Oreochromis niloticus: one gene and its partner. The protein of the gene in region 2 purifies or fractionates together with the protein of the main gene of each other region. This does not show direct contact. Links are inferred from orthologs where the notes say so. Each region holds a gene or a part of one and is shown on either strand. Other genes may lie near its edges.

Region 1 (7,699 bases), on a different chromosome or scaffold from region 2:
GCAAAGAAGGCCATCACCAAAAACTGGCTTAAGACAGGCACCAGGAAAGAAGCAGTGGGTAGCAATTGTGGAGGACATAAATAAAATAAAAAGTAAAAAAGAAAAAAGTTGGGTGAAGTGCAGCAGCTCAGAGCTCGGAGGAGGAGGATTAAGTGACAGACACATCAGTGGGATTATGTGACAGTCACTGCAAAGAAAGGAAGGGATACTTCACTGTAGCTAACTGCAGGGACACCACTGACAGGCCTGCAGTTTAACCGAGCATCTGTTAACCACTATTTTTGTTTTCTTTTGTTTTAAAAAAGTCCTTTTTCTATTAAAACTGCTTCAATACAAATATAGATAACTCAGTAAGATCCATATGTAATGATATGATAATCAACCATGTGCAGGTGTTGCTGTTAAGGTTAGGTATAGGGCAGGGTTTTGCTTACACCTGTTAGTTGTAATTCAATCCAAAGAAAATGCAAAATAATGCAAGTATGTTTACCAGAATGAGTTCAAACAAGGTGCCTTGGTCCACTTTGAGGAACTCCTGATCCCATACAGGGATGTCATCTGTCCTTTTCTCCTTGTTCTCATCGTCCTCAGGAGGAGGAGGGTCATCTTTGTGATGAGTGCACCACTGAATGACCTGAAAAAGAAAAAGAAAATAACAAATAAACACATGGTTTTAACCAAGGTAACCCGTTATGCACAGCACCCATCAGCTGTGTTAAAACTGCCCATAAAAGGTTTGAATACCAAAATTAAATGGCAATTATTTGCCACAAATTAGGATCAAGTCACACAGATTCCAGGTCGTTACCTCCTTGTAAGGAAGTGTAGAAATGAGTAGTAAGGAGAAAGAAAAAAAAAAAAAAAAATCAGGACTTGTCTGTTGCCAAAAATGTGATTAGATGATTTGCTGGCATGAAAATAAAAGCTAAAACAGGATGAGAAACAATCGCATTTTGTCCATTTTTCCAGGTCCACCTTCAAAACTTTGATGTTCAGATTTTGTTGAAACTCTGAACCACATCTGAGCACATTACCCTCAGAAAATACATCAGCAGCTCTTTCCAGCTATAACACTGTTACACTGTCCAGCTATAACACAAGTTTCCTAGATTATTACAATGTGCTTCTAAGATGCATTTTGATTGACTGGCATAGAAGATCATTTCAGCTTATTATTTCAGCTTTAGCCTGGCAGTGCTAAAATGTTAAAACTATAAGGGGAAGACAACCAAACCCAATTCAAATTCTTAGGCGAGCTTACCCATAGGACACAAAGTACCACTCTTTGCCACTTCTTACGATCTCTGCTTAGACCCTCTCACCATATACAGAAGTCTACATCATCGTCGAGGACACCATCACAGGCTTTGATTTATATTTGCCTCCCAACTACAACCACGAGCAAAGCCAAAAAATTCAAGGCACACAGATTCTATGGCCTCTTCTTCCAAATTCTTTTTTCGATTAGCAAATGATTATATGGCCAAACAATTTCTGCCAACCCGGACCACCTGAAGCCACGAGAGTTAGCTTTAATACTGCTGTCTTCGGACATTTATTCATTTTAAATCTGTGGACCAGTGTTTACTTACTTTACCAAAGAAAGTCATTCACTCCCCATCTCAAATTGTCATCTTCCTTCTTGTCAGGCTTTGTGTCAGGCCACACAACAGGCTGGGTTCCACCTTACACTTTTGTAAATATAATTTGCCTATGTATGGGAAATGAGTGTGTACCAAGTAGGTCTGCTGATAAAGTAAATAAGCAGCTCATTCCTCACTTGTTCATATTATAATAAACAAAGGTTGTAAGAAAACTCCAGGGCATTTGCCTCACAACATACACCATTTGGGAACCATGGATCTAAACCATAACCCTTCTCCAGACCAGGCGAGATGAACGCAATTAGTTAATAGCATCTCAGGAAACAAGGAATCAACCCCTCCCACATCCAACAAACACCACCCACACAGTCTGTGTGTGAACAAAAAACCCACTGGACACTGCAATATGTGCATTTTGTACCTTCTTGAGGATGGCAGCATTCACGTTAGGAAGGGGAACTGGATCATCATCTCCTTCATCATCCATTCCCAAGTCTGTCAAAGATTCAAACATTACACATTTGTCCAAATTATGGTTTAATTAAGTGAAGTATAAACAATATATTTGTGAACTGTGGGGTTTCCCATTTAGGTCAGTTGTGAATTGAAAACCTAAACGTTTAACGCGATTCAACACTTACCTTCAAGCATGGTCTTAATGGTGACAGACTGTTTGGCTATCTCAACGTCCACCTCGAAGATTTCCCCATCAGAACTCTGTAGTTTTATTGTGGGCATTATCTATAAAGGCAACACATTAAGATATTAAACGCCTCTGCAAGGAGACAACACTTCTGAAAACAAACTTACGACCCTTAGTAGTAAACACGCATTAGCAACTGCTATTCTACGTCTGGGAGTTAATTTGTCAGCTATCGCAAGAAAGACAGTTTATATGATTATTAGCCGAATACGGGAATAATATCCCACTACATAAATAAATAAAATTACCTGTGCGGACCTTAGTATTAGAAAAATTAACTCAAAACAAACGTTAAAGCTTACCTCAAGCTAACCAACGATTAGCTACCGACGACACGGGCTAAACAGCGGCAATGCTAGTCGAGCAGCAACCTTTTATTTGAATACAGTTTATATACAACTGAAGGTGATGCGTGTTATTACTTAAAACACATAAAAGCTGGCTTCTCTGTTTTTTGTTCAACCATAATATTTTAATGTTATCGGTTAATATTTAGGCTAACCAGGAAGCTAGCGTTACCATGCACAATGTTCTAGCTAAGCTAACACCTAGTGTCGACATTAGTTGAGGCCTCTTAGCCGCCACAGCGAGGCTATTCAAATAAAGACACAAGCAAAATTAAACAAAGAGCAGTTCATTCCAAGCTGCAAAACTCAACCTGGGCTAACTAAGCTACGTACCGTGACTGTTTTAACGATAATCCAGAGGTCAATTTCCTCTGTAGTCAGCAGCAGCAGCACCCGACAAACACGCAGACACAGACAACCGGTGGTAGTCTCTGGACCAACCTAAGAAGAAGCCTGAGCCTACCTTCCGGCGTCTTTTTCTCGTAGGGGAGGGGTTAAGTATGGGCTCAAATTATCCACCCTTCTTTGACTGATAATCTCAGGGTCATTCTGCCTTTGGTATTCTGAAATATCCGAAGTCTCTTAAATTATTCCAAGATATATGTATAATGTGATAGGCATGTTAGGTTTGCACACTTTTTTCCCGTATATTAGCATAGAACAGGATAGCCACCACACGTGTCATTGTACGTGTACAACGAAATCGTGGGTGCTCCACACCAACTGTGGCGGACAGCAAGAATAAAAAGCAAACAGGAGAAATATATACAGCCAAGAGGGAATGTATACAAAACAATATACAAAACTCACACATTAGAGAGATAGTGTTTGTTGACAGTCCGAATGACCCAGGGGAAGAAGCTGTTTGGGAGTCTGGAGGTGTGGCCTCCATTGATCTGAGGCAACGACCAGAGAGCAGCAGGTCAAACAGGTGGTGAGCGGGGTGCAAGGGGTCACCTGTCTTGGTTTTCCTTAGACAGGAGGAGCTAGTGATGGTCCCCAGGGGTGGCAGAGGGCAGCCAATTATATTTTGGGTGGTGTTAATTACCCTCTGGGCAGCCTTCATGTTCTCAGTTGTGGCCTCTGCCTACCCAGGCAGTAGGAGAGCACGCTCTCCACTGAGGAGCAGTAGAAAGCCAGCAGTAGCTTCTGTTCCAGGTTATCCTGGCTGACAGTAGCGGTTTTTGATACGGGCGACACGGGCGGTTGCCCGGGGCGGCATCGTGGTGGGGGGCGGCATCACGGGCATCGGCAAAAAAAATAAATACAAAATTGCTGTACTCATGCTGCCACCGACGTCATGCCAGCGCATTTTGTGAATGTCATAGGCACCGATCAGTTTTCCCTCGCCCATTTGCGGGGAGTAAGGGCGCCCTCCGTTTGCGAGGTGCGCCTGCTGCTTGCGGCACAGGGAGGAGAGGGCGGGGCGGCGGGGGAGTCTCTGGCTGGCTGGAGCAGCATCTAATAACCAACTTGCAAAATAAAACAAAATAAGAACAAACCAACAAACACGAAAACACCAGACATAATTTGCACCGATGTTTTTTCGAAATTCTATACGCGAAAAGTGAGCGCGAGAGCCCTCTGTGCGCCTGCTTGCTGCTGAAGTCAAAGTAAACTTTATTGTCATCTCCGCTACATACAGTCCAGTATATAGAGAGACGAGACGACGAGGCTCCAGTTACAGCAGTGCAAGTAAACAAACAATAAATATAAGAAGAGCAAGAAAATAAATATACACTTTAGGACTCGGGGTAAAGGGATCAATAACAATTTATAATTTACAGTTTTAAGATTTGAAGTCTCACACACAACCTGTCGAAAGGGGAGGGGGCCGGCTGCTTCCAAATAGCACACATGTCATTCATCATGTTGTAAATCCAAGCCCATTATGTATTCATGATTTGAATCCTGGGTTGTGCGAAATCCCAGAAATAAACCCTAGACAAAGTGACTCTGTGAACTAAGGTGTAGGTTTGTTAGGTTATCTTGTGGTGATCCTCGGGTTCGGGGATGGGTGTTTATACTGGAGTGCAAGATTAAAACCAATGGAAGATGGACAAGAAAAGTTCAAAGCCATGCTCAGTTTAGAAAAAAGAGAAAAGAAGAGGAGGAGAAACGAGCAAAAGATACAGGTAAGCAGATGTGTCATTGGATAATGGCAGGTCATCCTGAAACAATCAGAATCAGAATACTTTATAATCCCTAAGGAAATGATGTGGGTTACAGTTGCTCCAAGAAGAAATGGTAAAAATAGTAACAGTAACAGACTAAACTCCAAACAATACATTATGTTACAGATTTTACACATTTAAGAAATAGCACTAATATATACAGATCCCTCAATTATAAATATCAAGGATTAATAGAGGTGATTATAAATAAATATTAAGAAGATTGACAAGAATATTACAGAGTAATAAAGAGCGTGTATAAAAAGGGTGTAACTAAAGGAGGAAGTGCAGCCGCTGCTGGGCCTTCTTTTCCAGGATGTCAGTGTTGTGGCTGTAGGTGAGATCAGCAGAGATGTGGGTGCCCAGAAACCTGAAGATGAAGACAGATTCAACCCGTTCTCCATTTATAATGAGAGGGCAATGGACTTGTCTGTGCCTCTTGAAGTCCATTATGAGTTCTTTTGTTTTAAGGACTCTCAGCTTCAGATTGTTGTCTGACCACCAGCAAGACAACTGGTGGTCTCAAACTGAGTAAAGAAGGTGTTGAGTTCCTCTGCAAGTTTGAGGCTGCTGTTGAGGGTTGGAGGGCTCTGGCCATGTAGTTGGAGAGGGCTTGGATGCCTCTCCACGCTGGGTGGGGGTTAAAGTGTACATTGGCCCACTTTAATGCTGTCCTACCTTTGCAAGACTGTTTTTTTACTAAGACAATCTAGCAAAGTCTCAAACATTTGAGATGTTTAACATTGCTGTGTAATTAAAATCTTTTTCTTCTGGTTGTTCCCTTTAACAATCTGCTGAGCATCATCTCCATCATCACCCCAGTATCCTGTCCTGTCAGAAAAACCCTCTGTTTTTCTTCCTTGTCTGTGGTCTTGCTCTTCTGCTGCTGCCTGGGAGCTCCCTATTCATCATTCTTTGTCCTGTATATCAACTCTGTCTTCTCTGCACATGTCCAAACAATCTCGGCTTCGCCTCTCTAACTTTATCTCCAAACTGCTCAACCTAAACTGTCCCTGTGATGTACCAATTTCTAATTCTGTCCATCCTGCTCACTCCCAAATAAAAATTTGAACATCTTCAGCTCTGCCACCTCCAGCTAGGCCTCCTCTCTTTTTTAGGGTCACCGTTCCCAAATCATGTAACCACCTGCTCCCCCCTGTGTACTCTTTTCTTCACTGTCCGTTGCTGGATAAGCAGAAAAGAATGGCTTGATGGATGTATGGAGCTATATACTATTCTAATCAGTTCAGCTATATTGTTTATAGTTTGTTATAATAACTGGGTTAAACACAAAGGAATTTCTCAGCTTTTCAAGCTAAAACTATGCCTCATCATTTCTTTAATCATTTGAATGACTTTAAGGAATTGTTTATAAATCTGGGCAATACCATAAATTCTGTTATATATTCTAAATGCTATCTTAAATATGAATGCAAGATTCACTTGGGCTAGATTATATTAAATAAGCCTTGTTTCATACAGTAATTTCCAAAATTATACCCCTGCATGTGTTGTTTATCAAACAGCAGCGTTTATTGTAGTATTTGGAGCTACCATTGGATGGCGCTTTTCCCCTATTACGGATCCTCTCAAGCGGTTTCCATGGTGCGTTCAAGTGCTCATTGAAAGTCATCCTTGAATTGATGCCACTTAATTTCAAAATAGTAAGTCATCACAGCACTTTAGCTGCAGTAGGACACACACAAAAAATGCACAGTGGGTGTTATGACAGCTAAAAACTTTAATTTAAAAAAAAAAAAAGAGTCAGATACAATCAAAATTTTATAAATTGTAATGTATCAGTTCTATAAGCATCCTTGTTCATAAAAGATCACTTATCTTTGGGGTTATTAATGTTCTTTGAGATTTCACCTCATAATTTGTGGAGTGGTCAAGCTTGGTTTCCTCAAAATTCAATGCATGCAGCAAAATAATGAAGATTTTCTATCACTGAGATGTAGTGACTGCCGTTCACTGTACTGTGGTCGACTGGGGGAGCAGCAGCTTTAGAGAAGAGATACCAACTGAGTAAATTAACTGCCTGGCAAGGCTAGCTCTGTGATTAGCAGCAAACTGGACACTTTTGAAGCACTGGTGGAGAGCAAACCATCATGGAGGATCTTGACCACCTTCTCTAACAGACTGTTTCAGCTCTGCTGAGACAAGCACAGCCATAGGAAGTCTTAGCCACATGCTATCACCTTCTATAAAACAGTGATATCTGGCCGAGAGGCATCTGCCAGATTTTATTATTGGCTTTGCATCATCACTTAAATTGCTATAACAAAAATAATTCACCAAATATGGGATAAAGTTCTTGACATCATAAGTAAAATACTTCTAACTAGTATTCCTAAGACATAAAAGAGATTAAAAAAAAATAAAATAACCGGGTTCATACTTGAAATTCATCGCTGGGAAAAATGCTAAATTGTGGTAAATTTTGGCATCAATGTAAATTGAAATTTAATCCCAGGACAATGCAAGGACAGTGTAATTCAAACCATAACACTGTTTTATATGAGGACAAACAAACAAACAAAAAAACAACAGCATATTCACATCAAGAAGCCACCTTCGTCTTTATTAATAAAATTGTTCGGTTAATACAGATGCTGTAGCTCAGAGGGAGTCAGTGAGCTGAAGTGGATGAACACTCCATGTAATCTTAAACACCAAGCTGTGTGACTGCAAAAAACAAAACAAAAAGCAAAAAAATTAATTAATTAAAAAAAAAAAAAAAAAAGTTACACAAGGTTTCTTGTTCCTGTGTGTAGAACTTTGGTTGGGAAGAAAAAAAGAGGAAAAAAAAAGAAACATCTGTAGTGTGAAATCTTTTCCATCTTTTGACATATGTTACATTTCTTTTCA
Region 2 (6,609 bases):
CTCTGGCAGAGGTTCCCGGTTCCTGCTGTGCAAAGTTGCCTTCTGGAGGCTGCTGCTACTGCTGCGTCACTCCCGCTGCATCACTGACCCACAAAGAGGAACTGAGAAGGAGGGGTGGTGTTGTGAATGTGTGCAGTAAATGGATAAGCATGAAAAAACCCACACAGCCCTACACCACGCCAGTAATCAAATGGATGTGGCTGATGTCTCTGTGCCTCAGAGTGAGGCCTAGCTGTTGCTGTGGTATTCGGGAAGTGGGTCTGGGAGACAGATTCTTTATTGTTACGTAATGAATATTTTTCCTAGACCAGACTCAGCTGAGAAGGCGGTGTCAGGGGCTAATAATAGGCCATGGTACCCACCATTCAGGGCTGTATGCTGTCATGTCAGATCACTCCGGCACACAGCTATCATTTGGCCACAGAAATATTTGATATTGCAGGGAGGCGCGGTCATTTATGGAAAACTACCTGCAGTTTAACACGTGTTCTTCTTTTTGTTATAACACAAGGCTTACTTAGGTTTTGTTTCTTTTTTTTGGCATTCTTACATGACAATAGGACTGTATTATGTTATTCTTTTAACATTCACTATAACATGCCAGCTCTGATTCTAAAAGTACCTGTAAACAGAGAAAAACAATGCGTACCTTTGTCATATGTTACTGTAGCTTGCTGGTACAGGTTTCAGGAGAGGTAGGTAGGACCGCTGTGTCAGATGCCCTTACACACGCATATGCACAAGCTTTTAATCCAGAATAAGTAAGTTGGAGTCTTTTAGGCCTTGATATGGTAACCAGAACTACAGCACTTGTTTTGCACACGTTACCTTTACATACTTGATTTCCCCCCTCCTCCTCCTCCTGTCATCTGACTCATTTTGACGTTTTCATTGTGACATTGCTCCCTCTGCTGGCTGCTTCAGTGATCCCACATAAAGCCAGGCTGCCTTGTGTATGCAAAGACAGCGGAGGCTGGTTGAGGGCTTTCAGCAGAGGGCGCAGCCAGCAGTTCACCAGCAAATGTAAACAGGAAGTATGACATGATGTCAGCAGGACTTCAGTTGCTTACGTATTTTTCTGTAAGTCTGTTTACGTTTTAATTTCCCCAGGTTGTCATCCAGACACAAAGTGCCAATTTAATGTCATTTACAAGGAATCTTACACAACGCACACTCTTTGAAACAAAACAAAACTTGTAAGCAAGACTTTCCTTTGTAATGCAAAAGTACTGATTTGCTTTGGAGAATATTCACATTTTTCACAGACACACACACACACACACACACAAAAGCCCTCATTCATTACTGAAGTCTTTTTTAGTTTGCTAATGAGCCAGTGTGATTTTACTTGTTTTGGAACAATAATAAAAGTGTTTGTTTTTAAATATATGTTTTACTGCTGTTTTTTATCATCACTGTTGTGGAAAAAGGTTAGAAAGGTGCTCTTCCAGCCCATGGCATTGGCTATGTCCTCAACGTCCCTGTTAAACCCAGTGCAGGTCCTCACAGTCTGCTCCCAAAACTTCTCAGAGCTGAAGAGCTGGTACAATCCGGTTAGAGCACAGCACAACATACACGTGAACACAAATGAATTTGAACACAAGGAAAACACAATAGACACTAAAGCATTATTTCTGTATCATCGAACAAATCCAGTACTTTACCATTGTCCTCACCGTTTTGAATCTGCGTGACGTCTGTGCCAGCAGTGCCACATCTTTCAGCTCAAGGCAGTACATGATTCGGAGCATGATGTCATCAGGTAAACGCTCCAGGTAATCAAACTTTCCTTGACAGAGTGCTGTTGTGTAATCCAGGATCCTTTGCCCAAAAACAGCACCGACTTCATCTGCAGATGATAAGTCGACAAACACAGCCCTGCAGTTAGATCCTTGAAAAGTTTCGATGTCAAATTATAAACCCAAACAAGATTCAGAAATAGGTTAGAAAAGACTAGTATCAAGAACTTCATGGAAGGGGAGTGATGATTTCGATGAGGAAAACTTACACTGTAGAGTTGTATCATTTTGGAAGTCCTGATGAGATGTCCTCTGCTGCTTTGGGGGAAGACCTCTGCATTCAAGTCGCAAAGAAATCCTCCATGAGGTTAGTATTACCTAAATTTAGAGGGAAAAACAAAGATGGGACTTCAAGACTTTAATCCAGGAGACACTCTTGAAGTAGTGGCTACAAGATGCCGATATGCTACTGGAACAGGGCGAATGATTTTATTAAAACATCTTACTAACAAATCTTGCTTAACAAATAGCTTGCTATTTAACAAATAGCTTGCTATTGGTTAAGCATGCAAAATAGAAAATAGTAGCAAAGCCATATTTAAAGCTAAGAAAATTAAGCTAGCCTCAAGTAGAGTGATTTTTTTATTAGCACGCTTTATACAGTTACTCCTCGAAAGTCTGTTATATAAAGAAAGACGTCCTAATACGTAACCTCGTTTTTGGTAATGACAAGTTGAAAAAAATCCTTTGGAGGTGGCGGACCCTGACCACTAATTTCAAACAGTCTCTCCCCAAGCAAAGACGCCATTTTGGACGCAAATCTGTTGCCATGACAACTGAAAAGCAACTAAAACTGTCTTTGCACAACGACTCATGAAACGGACCGATTGCTTTATCATTGATGTTAGGTAATAATAAAAAGTTATGCGGGACATATAATTTTACAGATATGCTTGTTTCATATATGTCTGTTGAAGGGGGGAGGAGGAGGGTCACGACCCAGCGGATTGATACTTAATATTTGTGACAAGCTAATGTTACCAATGACTTCAGTGATTCAGCGACTGTCTCTGGATGTCTACAAAAATAGTTCAGTTGTCTTCATTAGAAACCCGTAGCTTTGTTTCGAAAGAGCAGCCGATCCAGTGCTCGCGCTCGCTTTGTTGACTTAAAGCAAGCAGACACAGAAAATAAGGAGCAAACTAGTCCCGGAGCGGATGAATCACGCGGAGGTATATTGCGGTTGTAGGCCCCTCAGCTGATGTGAAACTAGCAGTGGTAGAGAGAAAAGAGGAGCTGGTGCACTGTCTGTTACAACTACAACACTGGAACAAATAGGTAACAACATTATACCAAAAGGTAGACATTTTCACTGACATTTAAACCTGTAGTCTTTTGGGATTTTGACAGTATTCAACCTCGAAATACATCGGAGGAATGGGTGTTGCGAAAATAACTCGAATCCCGTTCCTGCTTTCCTGTTTTTTTGTGTGTCTAAAAGGTATCAGGGGCCATTTCTTTTTGCTAGTTAGCGTTTACTTGCTAACTGCTAGCTAGACAACTTGTTAATGTTGGGGAAATTTTGATCAAAACTGTATCATAAACACTGAATTGGTGCGGTGTTGCTAAAAACGCTGTTTTCAACACAAATCCTTTTAACCATCCTGTCGAGCTGGCAAAATGTTAGCCAGCGACAACAGGGCTCGCTAATGTTAATTAGCTGGCATGCCAAGGTTAGCTGGTAACAGCTATAACGCTCTTGTTTGATTAAACATCGTAAGCTGCGTGACAGTCCTGTAGCTGCTAATTCGGTCTCGACGGGGTTAGTAATGTGGTGTCACCTCGGCGCCCAGCTTAATTGAAAACAGCGAGGTCTTTTAAAGCCAATAGCCGGCTGTTTATTTTTTTTTTTTTGTCAGCTTACTGTTTGCGAGAGAACGGTCATTGAAGAAACCCTCGCTGTGGCTAGGCTAGTATTAGCTTGCTAATGATAACCTAGCCGTGACGCTTTGAATTCTGAGCAAGATACTTTAACGGTAGTTGAATGAGATGTTTGGCGTTATGTGTCCCATTTACCCAAGTCTTAACAAGAACCATGCGCTGTGCTGGCACGCTGTTTGTTAGTGGTCAACTTGTCTTCCTGGCTAACAGTAGCTAACAGGCTAGCCAGCGCTGTAGTAGTGAGAGGGAGGCACTGGCCTTAAGTCAGCTCAGAAAATATTGTTAGCCATCCTTATAGCTTACCAACATTAGTTAGTCTATCTGTACATAACAATTCGCGCTGACAGTTGCAAGGAGAGTGTAGAACTGTATCGACGTCGTTACCTGTCTAGGTGACAGTTGTGTATTTTGGATTTATTTACCCCCATCAATCGTAGACGGTGAGCTTGCTTACGAAACACAAACGTATTTCTCTTTTCTCTAAACTTGATTGTCAGCCCCGACCGCGTACACACACAGAGCTGTGTGTCCTGGCAATCCGACTGCCAACTTAGCTTGCTTTAGTTTACTTGTAGCCTGCTAGCTTTATTACATTAAACCGCTGTCGAAAGACGGGTTTTGTCGATGTTGCCTTTTTTCGACGTGAAGCTAGTCTCGGATGAACCCGATCGTTATTCGCCAGTTGGAGGGGCGTCTTTGCCATTTAGTAAGCATTATGTCGTTTCGTAACACAAACAAGCTAGCTTCTCAAATGTGACAATTTGTTTGGCTAGGGTACTAGCTGAATAGGTTGACACACCGGCACGCCAACTACGCATTTCAGTGTAACCTTTGCTACGTTAGCCAGCGTAACTTTAACTAACTGCTGGTCTGCAGTTAGCAAGTCTTCTAGCGTCTTCTCTTTTTTAGATTCACGATGTAAACGCCACAAGCTTCGCTTTTGGATGTGTGAAGCTTTTATGTATAAATAAATCGATACGATGGAGGTATTGTTAAAATGTATGGGGCTTGCTAGGATATTAAGTGGCTAAACATGCTAGCGTTAGTCGGTGGTGGTAGACAACTACGTCAGAAATATAGGCCTCTGTAAATCATGGGTATAAAAAATCGGACACTTCAGTTCTTGTTTTAGTTACGTGGTAAGATAAACTGGGTCGATGGTCTATGTGAGGCTGTAAATCATTTGATGAGCTTAACTAATACATTATACTCGAGTGGGGAACACCAGTTGTCAGAATGGACGAATAACAAAGACTAGGATGCACTGTCAGTGCAGGCCTAACATGGCCCAGTGAGCTTGGCAAGTGTGGCGTATTTTTATCATCAGTATCCGTGATATCATAGTTTAAACTGTGACTTAAATAGTCAGATACTCTTGAAAATAAATTAAAAAATATTTATTTAGGGATTCAATGGTTTTTGTCTAGCAAATAATGAAATCCTCTTCCTGTATGTGTTTAGATCAAGTTAATCAATTGTCTTATTAGTACTGTCACTTTATTGACTCCTGTGAGTTAGATATATACATTCACTTCTAATGTTAAAAAGAAAACTTCTGTACTATTCTGATCAATTAAACCGTTAAGATTGTACTGTACCCCTAACACTAAGCACACTGGATCAGATATGTAAATTTTATACAATGTTGTAGTCATTTTGAAGCATAATTGCTGTTGGCAGTTAGTTTAGGACTTAAACTGAAACCAAAAAAGAATTAATTTGTAGTCTACCGCATTGTGTGTTTATTTTAATTAGGCTGTGACCTTGGTTAATAATACACAAAGGAATCTTTTGCTGTTGTAAGAAAATTGTAAAATGATCCTTTTGATGATTTTAATTATGTGAAAAAGTTCCAGTAGTGCGTTCTGCCAAAGATTTAAAGGTACCAATGTGTAAAAATGTATTATACTGTGCGTAAGTAGGGTGTTTGGTGATAGCTTTATATTCATGGTGCACTGTGTGGGGGGAAAAACTCAAACATTTCAGTAAAATTTGATATTTGCAGTAAGGTTTAATGTTAATGGCATTGCTGTATTTTACTGAATGTTATTCAGAGAAGTATACATTTTGTTGTGACTGTTATTGAGAGATTAGGAACACGAACTGTGCTCTGTGCTATGATTTATTTATTTTTAACAGATCATATTGGGTCATAGTAATATAGTTAGCATTAAGTCTTTAAAAGTTTTTAGTTCCCTGTTTTTGATTTTCAGCTATGAGGGGATGTAGTTACTGGCATGTGGTGTTGCTGCCAGCCCCCACCCAGATGTTGCATCTTCATGTACAATCTTGAGAAAGTTTTGCCACTGATCATCTCAAAGGGGTCAAAGGGGTGAACCTGTAGTTCAGTGATATGCAATCTCAATAGACGGCAGCTTATTTTAAACCACAGACAACTTGGTAGTGGTGGTGGTGAGAGGGTGCAGGTTTAAGGGTGGTCTTTGTATTTTGTTAATGTTCTTTTGTGGTCTCTTTTTTTCCCTTTATTACAGTGAATGGTAGTGTCTAGAAAGGGTATGTCCCTTCAGGAGAGAGGTGCCAATGTCCAACCGGCCTAATTCCAATCCAGGGGGGTCACTGCGCCGTTCACAGAGGAACACTGCTGCGGCCCAGCCACAAGACCACACAGTCGCTGGAAGGTGAGTCTACCTGCATCCTTACTGTCCAGTTAAAATAAGAATTTTTAAAAGGCAGCCGTAGTTTGTGGGCAGCAGTTGTTGAACCTTTCTTTAAAGAGCAATAGATGAAATGATGTTTCGTAGAGGGGAATTTGTATTTGGGTTGTGTGTCTTTGTAGTTAATTGGTATTTTAACTTGCTGAATGGTAAAATTGTCCTATGTAATCAAAGGAAAAGCTTATCTTTGTTCTTTTGTCATAGTCGGTGATTAAACCTCTTTTAGCTTTATTTTTCATGAATCTCCAGACGTG

The links.
Region 1: the proteins of fbxo36a (region 2) and skp1 purify together in Homo sapiens (affinity purification with mass spectrometry; 3 studies listed by BioGRID and IntAct, with this or other methods). This does not show direct contact. The link is inferred for Oreochromis niloticus from reciprocal best matches to the Homo sapiens genes FBXO36 and SKP1.

The regions. Positions count from the first base shown.
Region 1 is NC_031975.2:22,837,535-22,845,233, forward strand, and holds the start of skp1 (S-phase kinase-associated protein 1), read right to left. Parts: upstream 3,144-7,699; 5' UTR 2,988-3,143; intron 2,346-2,987; 5' UTR 2,343-2,345; coding exon 2,246-2,342; intron 2,100-2,245; coding exon 2,026-2,099; intron 635-2,025; coding exon 491-634; intron 1-490. UniProt on the Homo sapiens protein: Essential component of the SCF (SKP1-CUL1-F-box protein) ubiquitin ligase complex, which mediates the ubiquitination of proteins involved in cell cycle progression, signal transduction and transcription.
Region 2 is NC_031979.2:12,417,498-12,424,106, forward strand, and holds fbxo36a (F-box only protein 36a), read right to left. Parts: upstream 2,610-6,609; 5' UTR 2,548-2,609; coding exon 2,452-2,547; intron 2,118-2,451; coding exon 2,009-2,117; intron 1,850-2,008; coding exon 1,677-1,849; intron 1,541-1,676; coding exon 1,394-1,540; 3' UTR 676-1,393; downstream 1-675. Other genes in the region: E3 ubiquitin-protein ligase TRIP12, read left to right, coding at 6,222-6,319. UniProt on the Homo sapiens protein: Substrate-recognition component of the SCF (SKP1-CUL1-F-box protein)-type E3 ubiquitin ligase complex.